Linked DNA regions of Macaca mulatta. Each later gene encodes a partner of the first gene's protein in a complex. Links are inferred from orthologs where the notes say so. Each region holds a gene or a part of one and is shown in the gene's direction. Other genes may lie near its edges.

Region 1 (7,066 bases):
ACTTACAGATGAATAGTGTACTCTCAAAATGTATTTTATCTAATTGAGACATCTGAGATTGCATGTTTATGCCCCAAATTCCTTGCATTCCAAATTTTCTTGAATTCCAAATTCCTTGGGTTGATTTTTATTCTTATTAGGACATTTCAAAAATTTGGTAGGATGCAGTCACCTACTTTTTTCATGTTATTGAACATTCTGTAAAAGCACTATCTGTTTAAAGTATATATTACTACATATCTGTGTACCATTATGTTTCTTATTCTTTAATTATAATTTGATAAGTCAAACTTGAGTGATTAAACAGTTGCTGGATAAATATTTCAAAAGTGGGAAAAGAGGAGGAGAAATAGGTTTTAGAACTAGATGTACCATTCAGTTTTTACTTGAAGAGCCTGTGCCACATGTCTGTTATGTGGTTGGAGCAAGAATTTGTGCTTAAACAAGCATCCTGGCCTTACTGATTTGGACATGACCAGTATAGAGATGGTGGAAATCTTGGCCATGAGTGGGATTGCTGAGGAGGAGGACCTCAGAAGGCTGAGTGCTTCCTCTTCAGGAGTGTAGCCTTTCTTAATGATAGACTGTCATCTTAATGCAGTTTATTCAGTTATACATTAAGCTTTCATTTCTTCCTCTGTTTTAAGGGAGGTGAACAAGAATTCGTATATCCTAAATGTTTTTTATTTTAAAAGTCTTCCTTGTCTTCTGTACTTGGTGACTATGAAATTAAATCTGATATATAACTAATTAAACAAGATTACCTGAATAATATTTACCAGCTCTATTATGTATGCTACAATGTTGTGGAAAAGTTTTCTGTGATGTTGTATATCTCTACTTGGTCTCACAGATGTTGACGTTGCAATTAGTTAGAGGCTGTCTGAACCCAGATACCGTTTTCTGCTGATTTTATATGATCAGGATTTGGTATTTTTTTGTGAATAAACACCATTAGTGAACATTAAATGTATTGATAACTTCAGAATTTCCTTATAAAAAGGGAGACAAATGAATTATATTTATTTATTTTTACTCCTGTTGTTACTGTTTTTCTTGTCGTTTAGAGTATATAATGAGACCAAAAAAATCCCGAACTCTAGAACTCTCCTAGTCTTTAGTCCTTCCACTACATTTTCCCCCTAACTTTCTCAAATCTGGTTTAGGTTTGGTTCAATATTGAATAATTGCTACATACAAATATTAACAGCTGGTTCCAGAAATCTTCTGGAGTGGGTGCAGATGTACTGTTTTCATGGATCTTGCTATGGAAACTTGGTGGAAATATTTTGCCTCTTATGATTAAGGAACTGCTCATTAGCAGTCTTTAAAAATAACTTTGAGAAAGAAACATTGGAATATAATGTGCTGTGCAATTTTGTTCCCTATTAGAAAGCAGAAGATGAGGATATTGTTCTCACACCTGATGGCACGAGAGAATTTCTGACGTTTGAAGTCCCACTTAATGATTCGGGATCTGCCGGCCTTGGTGTCAGTGTCAAAGGTAACCGGTCAAAAGAGAACCACGCAGATTTGGGAATCTTTGTCAAGTCCATTATTAATGGAGGAGCAGCATCTAAAGTGAGTGTCAACTTTACCATGCGTATGCCTTTTAATTTCAACATTGTTCCTATTTTGAAAACATATTCCTATTGAAACTTTTAATTTCAACCCTGTTCCTATTTTGAAAACATACGCAGTTAACAGGAGTTTTCTCATTTCTTCATGGTACCGACATTCACAATCAAACAACTAGGAGATGTCTCAGTGATGTGTCACGTGGGGATGGAGTCCATAACTTCAACTCTTCATTTTTTCTCTCACAGAACATACAACCCATAGACATGCTAGTTAAATGAAGTTAATCTATGCAAAGACTTGGCATAGGTCCTAACACAGAATGGGCGTAGAGTAGACATTAATCTTTCCCCTCCCCTCCCTTGTTTGTGGGTCACTTACTCTATTTCTCAGCCTAGAGAAAATTTCCTGGCCATTTGTTAAGGGGACAGTTCTCTGCAACTGTCTAATAGCCTTGAGCTTTTACATGTCTGGGTTTCTAAATAACCTCTATGGGTGTTTCTGGAAACAAGAAAGTAATCACTTTGTGTCCTTTGAATTAGTATGCTATTTTGGTAAACAGATTATGATAATGACTTGATTTACAAATGTATAAATGATTGAAATAGACACAGGCTACAATAGCTGCTTAGATGTTATTATGCCAGTGTTCAATTGGGCATAATCCATTAGGATTAAAGCTCTCCACTTTTTTTTTTTTTTTGGCTTTGTTTTTTATTTTATTTATTAACTAAAGGAAAAGCTACTTCTTTTATAGCAGTCTATTTAATAGCACTTATTTTTACCTGTTTTCTTCCCAGGATGGAAGGCTTCGGGTGAATGATCAACTGATAGCAGTAAATGGAGAATCCCTGTTGGGCAAGACAAACCAAGATGCCATGGAAACCCTAAGAAGGTCTATGTCTACTGAAGGCAATAAACGAGGAATGATCCAGCTTATTGTTGCAAGGAGAATAAGCAAGTGCAGTGAGGTAAAAATTGCAAAAAAGTGCTAGCATCTGAGATTGTAATAAAACTACATTTCTGTCCTAATTTTGGACAAAGGGTGTTAGGTTCCAGGACCTTACCTCAAAAGACCATAAATTATCTTTGCATGTTGTGGTTTTGTTATTTTGTAGGTGGATTGTGATTTGTGTTCTTAATTCTTGTGATCAACATATTCCTAAGTGGATATTAATACTTCTATTGCCAACTCAGCAGGAAACACTGGGATCTTAATTCCTTTTAGCTGAATTTTTTCTTGAAATCAGGGTCACATCTTCCTTCTCAGAGCCAACAGTTTCTCTTCTATTTGGCAGAGTTATACCTGGGAGGTGAATCATGCAGAGAAACAGTTGCTTATTCATTTGTTTATCTAAAATGGGATGCCTCTTACAAAGTCCCTAGTAGGGAACAGTCTTTCTTTCTCCCATCCTTTCTTTTTTTTTTTTAAAGACAGGATCTCACTGTGTTGACCACGCTGCAGTTCAGTGTTGTGGTCACAGCTCAATGCACCTCCATCTTTTGGGCTCAATTGATCCTCCTGCCTCAGTCTGCCAAAGTCCTGGGATTACAGGCATGCACCATAGCACATGGCCCATAGTCTGACTTTCTTAGATGATGGTGTTTTCTTGTGAGATTATCAATAGCGTATACCTCCCTCTCTTTCTTCAGTCCCCATTTTCTCTTTCTCTATGGGATTGAGTCTGTTCTCTTTGAATGCCTCCTTTTTCAGTAATCTGTATTGCATTATACTCTGCTTGTTCTAAATGTATGTTGCAGTTTGGAATTAGGAGCGAGGAGAACACAGAGCATCCTCTTTTGAAGGACAGGATCATCTATTTTCCCAAATATGGAAAAACATATTTGTTGTATAATAGGACATTTGAAAGTTAAAAATAAATTATATGTAGACTTGATAATATTGGAGCTTGAAAAAAACTAAATTTCATGGATCCATTATAAATTATGTGCCATCTGTAGAAAATAGGTCAGACTAGCCCATGTGCAAAATGAGCTGTTGAAAATGTGAAGTTTTTCTTAATCAGTGTTCAGATTCCCACATTTTAAGATCAACTAAGATAAAATGATTAACAAATAATACAAACTGAAAATTATACCTAAATTTTTTAAGTGTTTTTCTTAATTTTTAAACTTCTGTTTACTAAACATATAAAGCAAACTTTTCAGGTTGCAGTGTCCACTCATCTGAACCTATGATACAAGCATATTTTACAAAGAAAATATACTCTTGAGCTCAGCTGGTAGTCAATATAGAGGTAACGTATTCTGAAAGATCACTGACCACTGAATTATTTTGTTATTTGTATTTGCCAAATGTAGAATGAGTTAACAGTAATCAACAAATTAATTTCCATATCAAGAGAACAACATAACCTTAACTAAAAAATCTCAGAATGGAGAAGAGTGGGACATAAAAACATTCATTTGTGTGAGATAAATATAAAAGCTAATCCCTCACAGTAGGATACTGGACTGATATTTTCCTCTCTTCCCTCCCTCCTGGACTAATGGAATAATAGTTTTTACTCATTGCAAAATCATTAGCTGATCCTTTAACTTAAGTCCCACAAAGCACTATATGAAAACGTCTCAACTTAAGTTTACAAAACATATCACTCTATTTTCTTTTGGCCACCTGAATACTTTCCCATTCCACAGGACAGTTTTCATTCCATAGATATTTATTGAGCATCTTATGTATATCAGAAAATGTGTTAGATCCTGGGGACATAGCAATGAATAAGACAGATGGCATGCATTCTACTGGACGACATATCACCTTCGTCTTTTAGAGACCAACTAAAATTTTTAACACCTTCTCAACGTTTTCCTTCACAGAAAACATTGAATGCTGTAGGAGGACTTAAAATGCAGAAATGGACTGAATATCAGTGTCCTACTTTTATCTGATTCAGGTTATCCCTGTTGTTCCCCCCTAACAGTGACAAAGTAAACCTGTACCAGCCTGAAAATGTTTTGATAAAAGCACTGATTTTATTCTCTCTTGTCCTGTAAGAGACATGAAATTGGAATCCCCCTGAAATATCTCTGTGTCTTATTCACTTCTCCATATTAATTTGTGTGAATGAATATGATTTAAGTAAGGAAACAGCTGCAATAGACAGTAATAGACTTTAATATTCAATATTCCTTTTGGTATCATTTTCATACATTGCTGGTTATTACTATTTCTTAGGACAGCATAAGCTTATAAAGCAATTATATAAAAAAAAATCTTATGAGTACTGTGCTATCTTTGTAATACTAGCAAGAAGCCTTTTGTACTGATAGGGTTTAACTAAAGAATTACATGAAGACAGAAGATCTCAATTCGGCTTCCCATAAGGCATAAGACATGATTTTTCTGCTGTTGTACTTATGTATTACCTTTGGAAAACCTTCTCCTTTGCACACTGGGAGGGTATGTGTAAATTATTTTACAGTAAATATTGATATAAGCATAGGGCATCATGCTGTCCTGAACAAATCTCAAGCCAGAATAATGTGCTGAGTTTTCTTTCTAGGTCTTTTAATCAGCCGTATAGTCCAGTCTTTGCCAATCAGAAAACTGTATTTTGCTATCTCATCTTTAAATCCAAGGTTTGCATATTTAATTTCAAGTTAGGGAAGGTAAGAATGTGTAAAAGAAAATCTTTTGTTCTTTGTCACATTTTTCTTTCTCTTATACATGGAAGTGCTATGTATTAATATGTTTTCTTTATTTTTCACTTTTGTAGAGACAGGGTCTTGCTATGTTGTCCAGTCTGTTCTCCAACTCCTGGCCTCAGCCTGCCAAAGTGCCGAGATTTCAGGCATGAGCCACCTCACCTGGTCCAATATGTTTTCTTTGAATTTATTTGTCAGCTCCCTTCACCAGTTACTGTGTTAAAGCCCTGTATTTCCCTAACATTAGTCCTGACAAGACACATTGGAGAGATTCTCCGGGAGCTATTTCTTAGCCTATTTTGCTTGGCCTTTCAGGAATATGCAGGCACTATTTCATTCTCAAAGTGTCTCCTATCTACTGTCTCTAGTTTTCTGCTACCATACTCGGGGTCTTCTCTAAAGTTTCCTCTTTTCTGTCTGTTCTTTCATTGTTCCTGTCTCTCAGAGTTCCTCTGGGTCTGTTGTCTGTTTTTTTTTTTTTTTTTTTTTTTTTTGAGACAGAGTCTCGCTCTGTCGCCCAGGCTGGAGTGCAGTGGCGCGATCTTGGCTCACTACAACCTCTGCCTCCCGGGTTCAAGTGATTCTCCAGCTTCAGCCTCCTGAGCAGGTGGGATTACAGTCATGCGCCATACCCAGCTAATTTTTTTGTGTTTTTAGTAGAAATGGGGTTTCACCATGTTGGTCAGGCTGGTCTCAAACTCGCGACCTCGTGATCTGCCCACCTCAGCCTCCCAAAGTGCTGGGATTACAGGCGTGAGTCACTGCGCCCTTCCGGGTCTCTTTGTTTTTAACTCTGCTCATACTCCCTAGCTGATCTCCACTCCATGGTCCTCTGAAACCACTTGTTAGGATGAATACCATCATCCTCTTTCCAGCTCACAACTCCACTCTGGCACCAGATCCCACTGTCCACCTGCCTAGGGAAATATTTCCTGCTCTGTCTTATGGGCACCTAATTCACAAGGGATCACATTCTTTCTGTTGTAGAAGGCAGAGATCTGGGGTCACCCAAATGACCCTCTCAATGCTGTCAATATGCCTGTTGCCTGTTGCCTCTACCTCTAGAATTTCCCTCTTTTCTTTTTTGGAGACAGAGTCTCACTGTCTCGCTCTATTGCCTAGGCTAGAGTGCAGTGGTGCAGTCTCAGCTCACTGTAGCCTCGACTTCCCATGCTCCAGCAATGAGGCCACCTGTCTCCCTAGTAGCTGGGACCACAGGCATGCACCACCGCACTCAACTAATTTTTTCTTTAAAGATGGGATCTCACTATGTTGCCCAGGATGATTTTCAACTCCTGGGCTCAAGTAATCCTTTGGCCTCAGCTTCCCGAAGTGCTGAAATTACGTCTGTGAGCCACTGCGCCTGGCCTAAAATCTCTCTTCCCTCAGCTGCTCCTGTCTCTCCCCTCTGCCACTGCCTGAGTTCAGACCTCATCCTCTCACCAGGCTCATTGCTGCAGCTCCCTGAGGGGTTTCTCTGCAATCAGGCTTTCTCCCTCATTCCATTCTCTGCACTGCAGTCAGGCAAATTTTTCTACAAAACACATTGATCATGTCAGTCCCTGGTGAAACCCCTTTGGGAGCTTTCCACGTCTCCAGGATCAACCAGTCTCCATTGTGGGGTCCACTGGGACATGCCTGATTGTCATCGGTGCCCTACAGCCCCTGCAGCACCTCTGCTCCAGCTACTCAGTGTTTCTGGTAATTTCTCAGACATGGGATGCTCTTTCACACCTCTAGGTCTTCCACTTGCGTCCATCTGCCCCTCATCCTAGCAAAGGCTTACACAGTCTTTCATTTTCCATTTTCTCTTCCAATG
Region 2 (7,551 bases), on another chromosome or scaffold:
ACCTTTCTGTGTTGCTCCAGTTTTCTAAAAAGCCAGTGTGACTTTTATAACCCGTTTTATTTTTTTTATTTAAAAAATAATAGGTGTTTATGATTATGAAAGTATATGAGGACTTTAAGAAAAATTTGGGAGCTACAGAAACCGGCGAGGTGGAAAGCCTGGCCTTTGGCCACCCAACAGCCTTTCTCAGAGCCTGCCCCGCCCACTCCAAGGGTCACCTCCACACCCCACCTGCCCCGGAGGCCCCAGGGCAAGTCCTTGGAAGATTCCAGGGCTGTGCCTCCTCGGTGTGCCGAGCTCAGCGGGCAATGACTCTGTCCCCACCCACAGTCTTAGGAGGCTGCCTGGCTCCAGCATTCTCGAGGGGTCCTTACCCAAGTCACTCACTCCTTCCCCGTGTGCCAGGTGCCTGGAGAGGCTGTGGGGACCTGGTCTAACAGGGCCCAGCCCTCGGCCAGGATCTGGATGGGAGTCGTTGGCAGATTCCAGAGCAAACACCCTCTATCTGTCGCCGGGCAACACAGTGACACCACCGCCAGTCAGCGAGTCTATCCGTGCCTCAGGAAGCGCCCTCTGCCCTCAGGGAACTCTCAGGGGTGCAGGCTCAGGGCAGAGGACCTGGGAACCTCCCTGTGACCTGCCCCATCTGCCCAGAGGCGGGTCCCAGGGCCTGGGCGGGTCAGGCCTTTGTTTTGCAGATCTCATTAGTGGAGGCCTCTGCCTCCCGAGGGGAGGCCAGAGCAGGTACGGGGGGAGGTTTTCGGGACGTTTTGGGCAGCCCCTGTGCCCGCAGCCCTCTGCTGGAGCCTTTTGGGACCTGCATCTGCCCCCACCCCCTCCACCGGCATCAGGGCTGAACAAAGTCCGACACTGGGGTGGACTGTCCACTGAGGCCGCCCTCTCCCTCCCAACCCCACAGATAATAAAGCCCCACCCCCCACCTTCCCTCGCTGGGACTGGGGTACTGCCGTGACCCTGGGACTGGCTTTCAGGATGGAGGCTCCTGCCTGGCAGCATGGATCTCCCAGGCACTGGGGCACTGCCACGACCCTGCAACTGGCTTCCAGGACGGAGGCTCCCGCCTGGCAGCACGGATCTCCCCGGGGAGGCCAGCGCCAAGGGCCTGTCCCAGCAGGGGCGCTGGGACCAGGACCAGGCCTTGCTGCCTCCTTGGATCAGAACACCAGCCAGGAAGTCCTGCAGGTGTCCAGTGGCCCCTTCCAGGCACCGCCCCACTAAGGCAAAACCCTGCTCTTTCCTGCCCATCAGGAAGTGCCCAGGCCATGTTGCCAGGCTGGACTCCAGATGAGGCCACAGCCCTGGCCATGGGGCCCAGCGTGGGGGAGCTGGGCCGACGGGTGCCTGGCTCTGGAGCTGCTGCAGACACAGGTTCCCACTCATCACTGGGAATCTGGGAATCACTGCCAGGCTGCCCCCTCACCCTCTACTCTCTGTCCCCCTTCACACCCAGCAGATGGGCATGGGGCTTTGTGCCTGTGTGAGGGATACAGAGGGGGTCGCCCCATGGAGATGGGGGTGAGGAGTAGATTGCTGAAACGGGCATTAAGTATGCTAGAGACTCCAGGGAATGTGGGTGCCAGTCCAGCAGATCTCTGTAGGACGGTGCTCCCGGAAGAGGGAGTGACCATGCAAAGGCAGAGGCCGGGGCAGCCAGGAGGCCCGGAGGCGGGGGCAGCGGAGCTGGCTTTCCCTCTGGGAGCGATGGGAACCACTGGGGGACTTTGATGACCCAGAAAGATGGAGTGGGCACCACCGAGTTGGGGAAGAGGTCAGCTGAGAGGCTCATTAAGAGGATGCCTGGGGCTGGGTGAACCTTGTTTGGGAGCTCGGGGGGACCATCTGAGCTGGGGATTCGAAGTGGGCCAAAGGCTGAGGCCAGGGCTCCACACTTTTAAAAGCTGCAGACCAGGAGGGCAAAGGATGGGAGATTTGGGGAGCTGGAACCGGGGGCGGGGGATGTGTGAGCCTTCCCAGGAGGGCTCTGATGCTAAAGGCCAAGAAAACGTCTGAGGCCAGGCGCGGTGGCTCATGCCTATAATGCCAGCACTTTGGGAGGCCGAGGCAGGTGGATCACCTGAGGTCAGGAGTTGGAGACCAGCCTGGCCAATATAGAGAAACCCCGTCTCTACTAAAAATACAAAAATTAGCTGGGGTGGTGGTGGACGTCTGTAATCCCAGCTACTTGGGAGACTGAGGCAGAAGAATCGCTTGAGCCCGAGAGGCGGAGGTTGCAGTGAGACGACATCATGCCATTGCACTCAGCCTGGGCAACAAGAGCAAAACTCCGTCTCAAATAAAAGAGAAAAAAAAAGAAAAGAAAACGTCTGAGAACCGACCCTTGTATTTAAAATGTGGAAGTGGGTGGTGGCAGGGGAGGTAGAGGGGGAGCAGGGCGGCTTGGCAGAAGCTTTGCTGTAGAGAGAGGCAGAGATGGGTCAGTGGGTGGAGGGAGGGTGCAAACGGTGTTTAAGAAGAAAGAACGACAGCTTCTGCATAGGAGAGGGGCACGCTGTCCACCTCTAGGGAGAACATGAGTTCTGTGGCCACAGGTCTCCCCAAGGCCTGGCATCAAGGAGGCGCCAGGCACCCCACCTGCGTGATGAAAGCACGTGGTTGAAGTCCTGGTGGCTGTGTCTGGGTGAGGGGTGTGAGGGCGTGGCCTGAGCAGGTCCACTCTCAGGGGAGAGGGGTCCAGGTCAGGAGCTGGGTCTGGGTGTCCACCTGGTGCTTGGGTGAGGTCTTGCAGGCAGCAGGTCTGGGCTTCAGTGGATACAGACAACAAGGGATGGGCTGATCAGGGAAAACTCGACCGCATTTTCAGGGGAGGAGCCCAGGAGGCAGGGAGCTGGGCAGCGGTGGAATGGCCTGGAGGGCGATTGTCCAGATCAACCCCCCCGCCCCCAAGTAAGGCCCAAGAGGCTGTGGCTTCAGAAATGAAGGTCATGGGCGACTCGGGGCAATGCCGCGTCCTTGACCTGGGCGGAGTGAGCGGTTGCACTCACGAGTGTGGACGGCCCTTCCCTACAGGGGACCTTGGATTCGATGGGGGCGAAGCGGGGGCTGGGGCCCAGAGAACCCGAGTCTGGACCCTCCCGTCCCTGACCCTGGCCGGGTTCTCCGCTCCTTGCAGCTTCAGTCCTGCAAGTGGGAGATGTCAGGAGACCCCTGGACGGCGGAGTCCTCGGGCTGGCAGGGCGCGCGCCGCAGGAGTTTCGATTCGGAGGGTCTGGGCGAGGGCCGAGAACTTGCGTTTCCAGCGAGTTCCCGGGTCCGCAGCTCGGTGCCGCAGGCCGGGGCCCCTCCGGTTGCCGGGCAGAGCCGCGCCGCGCGCGGTCCCATTGGCGCAGGTGCGTCGCGCCCCGCCCGACAGGTAGCCCCGCCCGCGCCTCGCCATTGGGCCGCTGCCGGGGGTCCCTCGAGGATTGGCCCAGGTGGTGGCCCCGCCTCGCCCTCATTGGCCGCAGGTGCCACCGCCCGCCCCGGGACCGCCCGCCCCGCGGATTGGCCGCCGGCTCCACCTCGGTCCGCCATGTTCGGACACCGCCCCCCCCGCCCCCCGCCCCCCGCCCCCGCCCCCGTCGGACGGTCCCGCCCTGCGCGCCCCCAGCTGCCGCCCCGCGCGCCGTGGGAGTTCCGTGGAGTTCCGCGGAGTTGGCCGGGTCGGGCCGGAGCCGTCGGTCCTGAGCGGTGCCTTCCGCGTTCCGCCGCCGCCCCACCTGGCGCCACCGCCCCGCTCCATGGCCGGAGCTCCCGGGGCGCAGCGCTGACGGCGGCCGGCGGAGCGCGCCATGCCCAGCAGGACCAGCCCCAAGATGGACGGGAGCGGCGGCCGCGTCCGCCTCAAGGCGCATTACGGAGGGTGAGCGGCTGGGAGGGCGGGGAGCGGCGGCGGGTGAGGCGGGGAGGGCGGGGAGGGCACAGCCGTCGGGGCTCCTGCGCTGGAGGGAGGGAGGGAGAGGGCGGCGAGGTCGCTGCGGGCCCGGGGCTGTCGCGGGAGGTCCTCGGTCCCCGCCCGAGAGCGTCACCCGCGGACACCTGGTGGGCAGCGCCGGCTCCTTCCCCGGGACCGGGTTTCCCTGGGGTCGGCCCCGCGCCGCGCGCTCCTCGGCCCGGTCACTGTGGTTGACGTTTTCGCTGGAAAGTTGGGCGGGGACGTTCCGGCCGCAAACCTGTAAGGATTGAAAGTTTTCATCAAGTTGTAAAAACTCCTGGCGGGTTTCTTAAAATCAGCGTTTCCTAAATGTTCTCCCCGTTTACCCGGCCGGGGGTCTCGGTTTAGGCAAAGTCCGGAGACCCGGGGCGCGGGCGCGGTGGCTCCACTGCAGCCCCCGGCAGGGCTCCGGGTGGTCGGGTGGGGACAGGGGTTTCTGGAGGCCACGGCGCGGCCGAGACTGGCCCCGGGGCTTGCGTCGCACCCGCCCCCCTGGAAGCCTCTGTCTGGCTGTGGGAGGGGGCGCGGTCAGGGGCCGGAGCCGAGGGGTCCGGGGCAGCGCTGGTGGGGGTGGCGGGGGCTGCACCAGGTGGCCGGGCTCACAGGCACAGCGGAGGGGTCGCTGCCCCCCGAAGTGTGGGTGGTGGGGAAGGGAGGGCCCGTGGGTTTGTTCTTCCACCCGCCTGCGTCCCCAGGAGCCCCGAACTCGGACCTCCGCTCCGGTGAAGGTGGCCGCTGCTGCGGAGAGGGAGGGGAGGGGACTGCGGGCTCCGGGCTTGCACTGGGTGGTCCTTGGGATCTTGAAAAGCTGCTCCTGCCCCGGTGCGCCTCAGCTCCCGCGGTGGCAACCTGAGCCCCAGAGGCAGGGACGGCTGGCAGGGTTACGTGGGTGACATTTTCCCTGGGCCATGTCCTGTCAGGACAGTACCCCAGGGGTCTCTGTGGTGCCCTGCGAGTCTGAGCGGGTTCAGCTCCTTGCGAACCTTGTCTTGGGGTCTCGGGTCAGCCATCTGGGGCTGCTTGGCCCCGGGTTTGTTGTCTCTTCTTTGGGAAGGTTGAGGCCTCTGCAGCCCCCCTCTGGCAAGCACCTGGAACCCTCGGGGTGCAGTGGGGTCGGGTTTGGTGCCAGAAACCAGAAGAAAGGGAATTCTGAGGAACTGACCATCCAACCCCACCCAAAGGGGTAGGGCAGCCATGTCTTTTGACCTGGAAGTCAGCCGGTTAAAACTTGGTGTGATTGAGGTCCTGGCTATTGGACTTATCCAAGGACCTGGGCTTGCTGTCTCCTTCCCAGCCTGGAGCCAATAAACTAGGCAACAGGTGATGGTGTGGAGGTCAGGGGTGTCCTGCAAGAGGGAGGTCCACACCGGCAGGGCTGCAGGGGCCCAGACCCTCCTGCATTCCGGTGCCCAATTTCCGGGACCAAGGCTCAGGGGCAGTGCCCTGGAGTTCTGGGCCGCCCCGTCCTCTCTCTGTCCTGCTTTGGCCCCTGGGAGCACTTTGGTGGTGGGGTGGGTGTAATTCCACCCGGTGACTCTGGTTTCCTGGGCTGGAGAGACCAGGCTCCCACCCCTTCCTCTTCCCTCCCTTCCGGGACTGTCTCCCCTCTCTCCCCACCCCTTCCTCTTCCTCCCTCCTTCCCTGTTGTTTTCCCTCCTCTTCCCGCTCTCCCCTCTCTCCCTTCCCTGCCACACCTCTTCCTTCACCTTCCTCCCTGTTCCAGGGCCTGTCTCCCCTCTGGGTCTTCCCTGTTCCTACCATTCCTTCTCTCCTCTGTCCCCTCCCAGGTCCTCCTCCTCTCTACTGGAGAGTGTGAACTGCCCTTCTCCCCAGCCTGGCTCCTCGTCCCTCGTGGCACCCGGTGCCTCTCTGAGGGGACTGGCTGTGGGGTGGGACACTCAGGCCTTAGGGCAATGACGCAGTTCCAGAAAGTGGTTGCCAGGATGAGTACTGGGTTATTGGAAGCCCTAGAAACTCCGTCCCTGGGGTGAGACGCTGCTGTTCGTGGAGGTAGCTGAGTGTGGACACGTGGAAGACAAGTCTTTAGAAAAAGGAGGAGCTCTTCAGTCACCCCCATGGGGCATGGCCACCCCATCATCCTTGCCTGTCCCCCCAGGGCCCTCTGAGCACACTTGAGATCCAATCCTCGCCTCCCCCCCCCCGGCTCCCTGTGGGCCTGAGGGGTCCCCAGACACCTGTGTTTTCAGGGAGTCCCAGGTGACCTGGGCCAGGCTCCCAGACCGAGTCTCAGACGCCCATTCTTCTGGTGTCGCAAACACTGGTGCTGGCTCTTCCCTTTTCCAGCTCAGACTTTTTTTTTTTTTTTTTTTTTTTTTTTTTTGAGACAGTGTCTTGCTCTGTTACCCAGGCTGCAGTGGTGTGGTCTTAGCTCACTGCATCCTTCACCTCCCAGGTTCAAGTGATTCTCCTACCTCAGCCTCCCGAGTAGCTAGGACTATAGACGCCTGCTACCACACCCAGCTAATCTTTTGTAGTTTCAGTAGAGATGGGGTTTCACTTTGTTGGCCAGGCTGGTCTTGAACTCCTGACCTCGTAATTTGCCCGCCTCGGCCTCCCAAAGCACTGGGATTAAAGGCGTGAGCCACCTCGCCTGGCCCAGCTCAGACAACTTTTGTGTTCAGGGAGGTTCTGTGTGCAAAGCTCAGAGACCAGGGCGGGCGGTAGCTCAGGGCTTGGTGCTGGGCCCCGCAGGGACACAGGAGTCTCTCCCTGGCTGCCCAGCTGGCTACTGGGTGCTGGGTCCTGGACACCCCTGCCGAGGGGCACAGAGCAGCTGTTTGATTCAGGATTGGGATAGGGTTGGAAGTGGTGGCCCGACACTTCCCAAGTCCTGGGGTTTGACTGGAGCCACCCACCTGGCCTCCAGATTGGCAGGAAACTGGCTTCCACCTGGGGACAGGACTGTGTGGGGGCGGGGGCATGGGCAGGAAGGGGTCAAAGGTGAAGGGATGGCTGACTCCCACTCTGGAGTTCCTGGTGGTCGGACTGTTGGACGCCAGGTCAGGCAGCAGGCATGGGTGTCAGCTTGGGGCGAACCCCGGGTATTGGGTGTGTGACCCCTCCATTCCTCACTTTCCTAATCTGCGGTGATGCTGCGGGCTGTGGTGAAGACCAGCCAGGTTGGTTCCTGTGGGGTGCTCGGGCACTGGGGGCAGGTGCTGGGTGGCCAGTTCCAGCAGGAAGGGGTGGGTGGCTGCGGCCCACGGTGGGCTGGGTGAGGCCTGTGGGGCAGGTGGGCCCTGGGCTGCTATGCTGGGGCTGTGGCTGTGGGCAGATCCTGTGTTCTGTTTGCACTGGAGTTCTTGTCTGGGACGAGAACTTTGTTTCTCGAAACTTGTCTGACGAATTCAGATAACCTTGTGGGGAGCCAGCAGTGTCTGCAAAGAGCAGAGCCTGTGTCTCTGTGGTTTGGGACGTCTCACACCCCTTCAGGCTTCTTTTTATAGGCCCTGTGTTCTTGCCCCGCGCTCCTGTGGGTGTCAGAAAGCCGTAGATTTCTCTGAAATTTCGGTGTGTTCCACAAGGGTGTGATTCCTGCTCCGAGTTTCAGGAAACACCAGCCAGGCCCCGTGGTGGTC
Region 3 (7,797 bases), on another chromosome or scaffold:
TCCCTGGGTGTCTCACGCTGTGGGGAGGAAGGAAAGGGAATTCTCATTTGGGGAACCCCTGCTGTGTCCCGACTCAACTCCAGCAGGGTGGGAAAGCTCCCTGGGTAAGGAACTGGGCTCTGGAAACAGAAGCGTGACTTGGAATTTCCACCCCACCACTGACAAACTCTGATCTCAGAAAGCTTTTCCCTCCCAGGCTCTGTTTTCCCATCTATATAATGGGCCTAACAGTAGTACCGCCCCCCGCCCAGGGTTGTCCTGAGGTTTGAATGAGGAGTCCCAAGCAGATCTTAGTGCATTAGCAGCACACACAAAGGCTGTGGTCCTCAAATGTAACAACACAAACATGTTGCCTGGGGAGCTACAAACACATAAGTCCTGGGATTCTATCACCAGCCATTCTGACCCCATCAGCCTGGAGTGGGGTCCAAGGAATCTGCATATTCAATCCCCCTCTCCCAGGATGGATGACTTGAAGACCACGCTTTGAGAAACAGCCACTCGGTAAGGCTTGCTGGTCCTGTCATTTATTTTCATTGTCTCGTTTCATCTTCCAGACAGCCTGCAAAGTCTGAACAGGTAACTCATTTCCCAGGTGAGGAAAGAGGCTCAGAGAGGCAAGTCAGCTGCCCAGGTCATACAGGCAGCAACGGGTCATGCTAGGATCCAAACCTGGGTCTGCAACCCTCACACCTGTACTTCCCCAAGCAGCGCTCCCTGCCGGGTCAGCCTTTATCCTGGCAGAGGCCGGGTGGTCGTCCCGGGCCTTGTCGTCCCACCCCCACTGCCTCCACTGTTGCTTCCTCCTCTGCTGCTAATCTGGTCTCACAGACCATCCCATTTCCTGCCGGCCCACCGCCGCCTTCCTTGCTCCCAATGTCACTTCCTGGCCTTGTGCCCTCCTGTTACCTCCTTTGCCTCCAGAGAGGTTGGAGCAGAGGCTGGGCAGTGCCAGAAATCAAGCATGAAATCCTCAGGGGGACCAAGGAGGCACCAGCCTCCCTCCTATAGTCTCAACTACCTCTGCTATGGTGACCCCCATGCCCACCCCTGGGGCCCACAGCTCATGCCTGGCTCACCATTCCTTTGTTTATGGACCACAGGAATAGTAGTTTTCAGGGCAGAGTCAACTTCGTCATGGACTGGGAGTACAAAGGGAATTGGCAGATGGTGCCAGGACAGGCCCTATCCCCATCTGCCACCAGCCCCAAGTCTGAGACCCAGCAGGACGCAATGCGCAGGCCAGTGTGTCCCCATGGGCATGTAGACCATGAGGACAGGCGGTCAACACGGGCGGGGGTGAGGGTGATGTGGACTGGTACACAGCAGACAGAGCACTGTCCTGGCTCCTCTGCGGCCAGCCCACCCTCTGGGCAGGAGAAAGCAGAGTTAATCCCGTTGGAGAAGGAAGTGCTGAGCTGTTGTTTGTTCATTCCACAATCGGCCATTGAATGTGCTGGATCCCACTCAGAATCCCGCCCCAAGGACTGTACTCCTTCCAGCAGGTCGCTCCTCATGCTCCAGCATCATCTGTCTTCCCGTCTGCTGGATCCTCCCTGGGGATATGAGCGTGCTGCCATAGTTTAAAAAAATAAAAGAAAAAACCCTCCCACTTCTCTGCTCCCATTCACTGTAAGAGTTGGGGAAGGAGCTACAGTCACACATGACTCCACGTCCCCATCCCCCTTTCTCTAGCTCCTCCAATCTGTCTCGTCTACCTTTTCCTGTTTAACCTGTTCTGGTCACAGTCATTGACGACCTCATCTTCCAAATCCAAAGTGAAGTCTCAGCCCTCATGCTCCCCAGGCTGACCCACTGACCACTCCCCTGCCCTCCTCCTCTGCCCTCTCCTGGCATTCCTCCTTCATCGTGGGACCCTCTTCTAATGGATCCTCAAATGTCAGAGGGTCCGAGGCCTCCCTCCCGCCAAGCTCATCCATGCCCATGGCCTCAGATGCCAGCCATAAGCTCATGGGTTCCAAACCTCGACTCCAGGCTGGACTCACCCGTCTCCCGCCCCAACCTGACACCTCTACCTGGGTATCTAATGAGCATCTCAAACTCAACCTGCCTGAGATAGAGGAATCACTATCCCCTCCTCCTCCAAAAATATCCTTCCATCTCACTCCCCATCTCCTGCTCTGATTTACTAAACAGCCCTGGGTCCTGTCTTTCTCAGGGTCTCTGCTTGCCCAGTTATATAATAAAACAAGTTTGGGACTTCCCAAACATTCACCCATGGAAAAACAGAAGCAAGTCTTCAAAGGACAGATTCCCAGGGTCTGCCCTGGGAGATTCCAAATCAGTTGATCTGGGTCGAGCCCAGTCCTCTGTAGTTTTGAGAAGCTCCTCCTATGTCTCTCCTGGTCAGCAGAATCTCGGCCCCTCCCTTTCCCCAGCCTCTTGGTTCTGCTGGGCTCTGATCCAGCCTCAGCGTCACTGTCTTCCACGCCCCTCTTTGACTCTCGTTTATGTCAAAAGCCTTGTGAGGATGAGGCTGTGATTATCCCCATTTTACAGATGAGGAAACTGTGGCTCCAGGATGACACGACTGGCCCAAGGTCACATCAGAAGCAGAGCTGGGTCACTTGACTCCACCCAATATCCCTAAATGAAAATGTCCCCTACAGACCAAGGCTGGTGCCTTAGAGCTGGAGTCCACGCCCACCCTGACCGGGAGAAGCCAACCTGGTCCTCCAGAGCCAAGAGCTGCTGTCCTTTCCCATCTCCTGAAGCCTCCCTATCACCTTTAAAGTCCATTCCCACAAAGACATCATGGGGTCACCACAGAAAATCAAATTCTGAGGCTAGGCTGACCCCAACTAGATTTTTGGCTCTGTTATACCCCAGCTGGGTGGACAAGCACCTTAAACCCACTGAGCCTCAGCTTCCCAGGCTATAAAATGGGGGTGATGACACCTGCCTGCAGCATCCCAAGGCGGGTTAAATGTGATGCTGCACCCACGGGTCCCCACAGCCAGGCTCTTGGCAGGTGCTGGGCTCAGAGTCCCAGAGCTGAGGCCGGGCATTGGGGTTGAAGTGGGGTGCCCCAGGCGGGGTCCAGGGCCAGCCCTCTGTGGAGACAGCCATCCGGGGCTGAGGCGGCCGCCCACCGGGGGACCTGCCTATCTGCAGCCAGCCCAGCCCTCACAAAGGAACAATAACAGGAAACCATCCCGGGGGGAAGTGGGCCAGGGCCAGCTGGAAAACCTGAAGGGGAGGCAGCCAGACCTCCCTCGCCAGCGGGGTGTGGCTCCCCTCCAGAGACGGTTGGCTGACGGGCTCCACAGAGCTCCACTCACGCTCAGCCCTGGACGGACAGGCAGTCCAACGGAACAGAAACATCCCTCAGCCCACAGGCACGGTGAGTGGGGGCTCCCACACTCCCCTCCACCCCAGACCCGCCACCCTGCGCCCGAGGTGGGAGGGTCCTCAGCTTCCCCATCTGTAGAATGGGCATCGTCCCGCTCCCAGGACAGAGAGGCTCCTCGAGGGCATGCTGGGCCTCCTTGAGGCTCAGAGCAGGGCCGGGGAAGGTGCACCCAGAGGTGGTGCCAAGGGCACAAATGGGCATCTTGGGGCTGAAGGGGGAAGGGCAAGGGCTCGGCTCTCCCACAACTGCACTCTCCAACTCAAAAAGTCCCACTGGCCTTCCTCCGTGCCAGGCTCAGAGAAGGCAGGATTCTGCCCCAGTTGCCCAGCATGCCGGGGCAGAGGACTGGCACCCAGGCCTTGGCCTCCCCTCCGTGCCCTTACCCTTACTGGAGAGGATTTACGAAGTCCTGACACCACCCTCCTCAGCCCCCCACCCATACGCCACTAAAGCTCTATGCTGGGATCTGGGGAGGGGCCCTGAAAGGGGAGCTCAGAGCCTCGGCCCCTCTCTATCAAGCCAGCGCTCCCATTTCAGGATAGGCAAGCTGAGCACTGGCTCTGGGCACCTGCGGTCCTGCCTTTCCCTGCCCAAACACCATCGGGGCCCGCTATGTGTCTAGGGAGCTGTAGTCTGGACAGTGGCCCACCATTCCTCCCCCAGGCACCCTTTCAAAGGCTAGGGCCCAAGAGCCCCAAGGCCCTCACAGCTCAGGAAGTGCCCTGGAAGCAGGAGGTCTGGGCCAAGAGCCTGGCCTGGAGACAACTGCCCTGGGTACAGATCCCAGCTCTGCCATTTGCTCTGGGGTGACCTTGGGAAGGTTACCCAGAGTTTCCAAACCACAGTGGGGAACAAGCGATGATGTGGAGTTCATTATTTTACCATTAACAACTCCACAAGGTAGATATATTATTTCTTTATATTTCAGTGAAAGCAACTGAGCTTTGGAAACATATGAGCCGGTGTGGGGATTTGAACCAGGATCTCATACTCCAAAGCCCAGGCTCTTTCCCCAGATCTCAAGTGCCTCGTCTGTGAAATGCAGAAACAGTGTTTCCTTAGTCAATTAAGTGAGGTGATCTAAATCCCTGGTGCTGGGAATGGCACATAACATGGGATCTTTAAGGAATAGTGGCTGGATTTTCCTGCTAGCCCAGAGCCGATCCTGACTGTGAACGTCATAAAGGTTTTGACCCTTGAGGTATGGTAACACCCCATCAGGGAGGGGTCCTCAGGTGCCCAGCAGGTACCAGGAAGGGGGTGCAAGTGAGAGGACATTGCGAGCACCTCTGGGCACCTGCTCCATGCCAGGCTCCCTCCCCAGCGTGGACGTTTCTCATGTGTGATGGGCAGATAGGATTCTGACCAGAGAGGAAGGCCATTCCCAGGGAGGCAGCTCTGAGGAGTTGAGGGTGTACCTGGAAGGCTCTTTCACCACAGGCCACTGGAGCCCGGGCCAGGAGCCCTGGTCCATCCTGAGGTGGTGGGGAGCCTGGGACTCTCCTCTGCCTGCCCTGGAGGGCAGCGAGTATCCTCCAAGGGGCCCAAGAGCTGCTGAGTCCCTGAGCGGCCCTACCAATTTCAGCTTACGGTGATGAGGGGTAGGGGAGGTGTATACTGGCTTGGAAGGGGTTAAGCTGCCTGCCTGCAGCCTCAGCCTGAGCTATTGTGTTGCTAAACAAGGGCCGGACATGAAGGCAGGAAGCCAGAGGGGGCCACACATTTTCTGCAAAGTTGGATGATTCACTGCTGACTCGGGGACACCCAGGGGACACAGCGGACACCGTCCCAGGAAAAATCTTGGGCCTTTTTGCCCATATGGACCCATGCCTGTTCCCTGCATCCTCTCTCTGCACCCCCTCAGTCACGCTGAAGCAACTAGAATTCCCATTTGACAGATGGGACCACCAAGGCTGAGGGAAGCTGTGCAGCCAGGCCAAGGTCACACAACCAACACAAGGTAGAAGCAGGGTGTGAGTGCGGTCCCTTCTGACCCACAATCCATGCCACACTCCACAGTGAAGCTCAGAGAGGGGAAAAGCAGAGCACTCCAGGCCACAGAGGCAGGCACAGGGACAAGCCAGGAGCCCAGTGACACCAGGGGAAGGAATGTTCTAGGAGGCAGGTTCTGCCCTCAGGAGCTTCACCTCTGGCTGAGGAGATACTAAAAAGTCTGTCCTGATCCAGGTTCGAGCTGGTGTTAAGTGGGTAAATCATGAAGGGCTTGCTGGAGGAAGAGTGGGAATCCCAGGTGCTAGGAGGCCTTGGGCAGCCCCTCTGCAGCCTGGGCCTCAGTCTTCCCATCTCTTGAGAGTAGGGGATGCTCCCTAAACTAATTCAGGGACTTCCAGATTGTCTGCCTTGGACCACAGCAAAACAGTCAGATCCTGGCAGGTCCAGATACTGGAAGGACGAGGAAGTGGGACCCGGGGGCAGGCCGGGCGGGTGGTGAATGAGATTTCCTTCTGCAGAGGAACAGAAAGAGTAGGAGGTGGGCCCAGAGTAGAGCCAGGAAATGAGGTCAAGTGTAAGTCGGCCAGTCAAAACCACACCCACCAGGCTGGAGAGGGCGGGTAGATAGGAGTCAAGACACCCACACCCTTACTGGGCACCTACTGTGTGCCAGGCTTTACACTCATGATCTCATTTAATCGTCCTCCCCAGGGAGGCGGCTACTGTTGCCTCCATTACAGATAAGGAAGCTGAGGCTCAGCAAGCAAGAGATGAACCCAAGGTCACACAGCTCCCGAGCAGTTGGGCAGGTTCAAACAGGCAGGTGCAAGGGCCTCATTCTGTTCCCCACACTGCCCTCATAGTCCCAGACAAAGTCAGGAAGCCCAAAGGAGGCTGGAAGCCTCCTTAGCATGGGAAGTTTGGAGCTGTCCCTTTAGAAGGCAAGGGGATAGACTAGATGACCCGGAGCCCAGAGATTCCAGCACAAATTTGTTTCACATCACAAAATAGGTCTGGCCAACTGGTACCCTCTACCTTCATCCAGTGGGAATGAACTTGAACTCAGCCCCTGAATCCTCAACACAGTCTATGAGGATCCTCAATACAGTCTTTGGGTGATTGATTTGTGATGTCTGCCATAGGTGTGGAAAGGGGCATGTGGCAAGCTGAGTTCTGTTCTGCCAGCACTGTCTTAAGAGGTGCCCTGCTCAGGGGTGTTTGCATACTCACTGGGGACTCTTTTTTTTTTTTTTTTTTTTTTTTTTTTTTTTTGAGACAGAGTTCTGCTCCTGTTGTCCAGGCTGGAGTGCAATCGCGCGATCTCGGCTCACTGCAACCTCTGCCTCCCAGATTCAAGCGATTCTCCTGCTTCAATCTCCCAAGTAGCTAGGATTACAGGCATGTGCTACCATGCCCAGCTAATTTTGTATTTTTAGTAGAGATGGTGTTTCACCATGTTGGCCAGGCTGGTTTTGAACTCCTGACCTCAGGTGATCCACTGGCCTTGGCCTCCCAAAGTGCTGGGATTTACAGGTGTGAGCCACCACGCCCAGCCAGGGACTCTTAAGAAGGATAATTTTGTTGTCCCTAAAGGATCAAAACCCTATCGGTGGTCTTTTGGGCAGTCCCATGGCAGCCCATCCCATGGGCCATCAGAGGAGCTATCTGGGAGCAAGGAGGAGCTTCTTTGAGTTATACCAACAATGGTACCTACTCTGACCACCCTACGTGTTGTCTGAAAATACACAGATTTGTTTCTAAATCCTGTGAGTGGGGAGGGAGTGGGTGGCAAGACCAGAACTGGAGCTGGCACCAGGCTGACAGGCAGCACGTCCAGGTCTGGGGCGTTGAGTTCATGCACCCAGGTATGGCATGAAGTGAACTCTCAGGCCCAGAACCTGCCTGGGCAGAGATAGGCCAGGAGGCAGAGGCTGTGCTGGTGGCAGGTGGCAATCAGAAGACCTCATGGAGTAGGCAGTCTGGGGCTTGAGAAGAAGTAAAGCGCTAACCCAGGAGACAGCAAAGAAGGGCATTCCAGGCAGAAGGAACAGCCTGGGCAAAAAGCCTGCTGCTGAGAGGAAGGGCACTGTGCACTTCAGAAACTTCTAGCTCTCCTCGAGGCTGGAAGGGACAGGGAAGCGGAAGAGAGGAGAGCTGGCAGGGTGGGCAGGGGACAATCATGCTAGGCCTTGAGGGCTGGCTGAGGAGTTAGACATCCTCCAGCAGGGAGCGAGGAGGCTATTGGCAGAACCTAATGGGAGGGGAGCAGGTCTGGGACCCACAGGAGCCTATCCCAGGGCCAAACTGAGCCACAAACCAGGAGGAAGCAGAAGGGGCCAGGTCATAGCTGCCTGGCCAAATCCCATTCCCGAGGCTCCCAGGGCCTCACCCTTCATCCTCCCAATGTCTGTGGCTGCCAAGACCCGGCTTTAAATGCCTGAGCTCAAGCAGACCATTTGAGAGTCCCCGGA

Evidence for each region. The genes of interacting proteins can lie anywhere in the genome.
Region 2: PARD3 (region 1) and PRKCZ share a complex: the UniProt entries of both Homo sapiens proteins name them as parts of the par polarity complex. The link is inferred for Macaca mulatta from reciprocal best matches to the Homo sapiens genes PARD3 and PRKCZ.
Region 3: the proteins of PARD3 (region 1) and CDH5 are in contact, whole or in part, in an NMR structure (PDB 2KOH), measured with the Mus musculus proteins. The link is inferred for Macaca mulatta from reciprocal best matches to the Homo sapiens genes PARD3 and CDH5. Residues at the interface, in NP_296369.2 of Mus musculus: Ala599, Gly600, Leu601, Gly602, Val603, Ser604, Val605, Lys606, Gly607, Arg609, Lys611, Lys622, Ile625, Asn655, Gln656, Met659, Arg663, Met666; in NP_033998.2 of Mus musculus: Tyr774, Gly775, Asp777, Gln779, Glu780, Glu781, Leu782, Ile783, Ile784.

What each region holds. Positions count from the first base shown.
Region 1 is NC_133414.1:35,742,243-35,749,308, reverse strand, and holds part of PARD3 (partitioning defective 3 homolog), read left to right. Parts: intron 1-1,392; coding exon 1,393-1,581; intron 1,582-2,378; coding exon 2,379-2,549; intron 2,550-7,066. UniProt on the Homo sapiens protein: Adapter protein involved in asymmetrical cell division and cell polarization processes. Seems to play a central role in the formation of epithelial tight junctions. Targets the phosphatase PTEN to cell junctions.
Region 2 is NC_133406.1:238,641,131-238,648,681, reverse strand, and holds the start of PRKCZ (protein kinase C zeta type), read left to right. Parts: upstream 1-3,050; 5' UTR 3,051-3,809; coding exon 3,810-3,880; intron 3,881-3,962; exon of another isoform or gene 3,963-4,192; intron 4,193-7,551. UniProt on the Homo sapiens protein: Calcium- and diacylglycerol-independent serine/threonine-protein kinase that functions in phosphatidylinositol 3-kinase (PI3K) pathway and mitogen-activated protein (MAP) kinase cascade, and is involved in NF-kappa-B activation, mitogenic signaling, cell proliferation, cell polarity, inflammatory response and maintenance of long-term potentiation (LTP).
Region 3 is NC_133425.1:61,889,360-61,897,156, forward strand, and holds the start of CDH5 (cadherin-5), read left to right. Parts: upstream 1-3,296; 5' UTR 3,297-3,364; intron 3,365-6,933; exon of another isoform or gene 6,934-7,797. UniProt on the Homo sapiens protein: Cadherins are calcium-dependent cell adhesion proteins. They preferentially interact with themselves in a homophilic manner in connecting cells; cadherins may thus contribute to the sorting of heterogeneous cell types.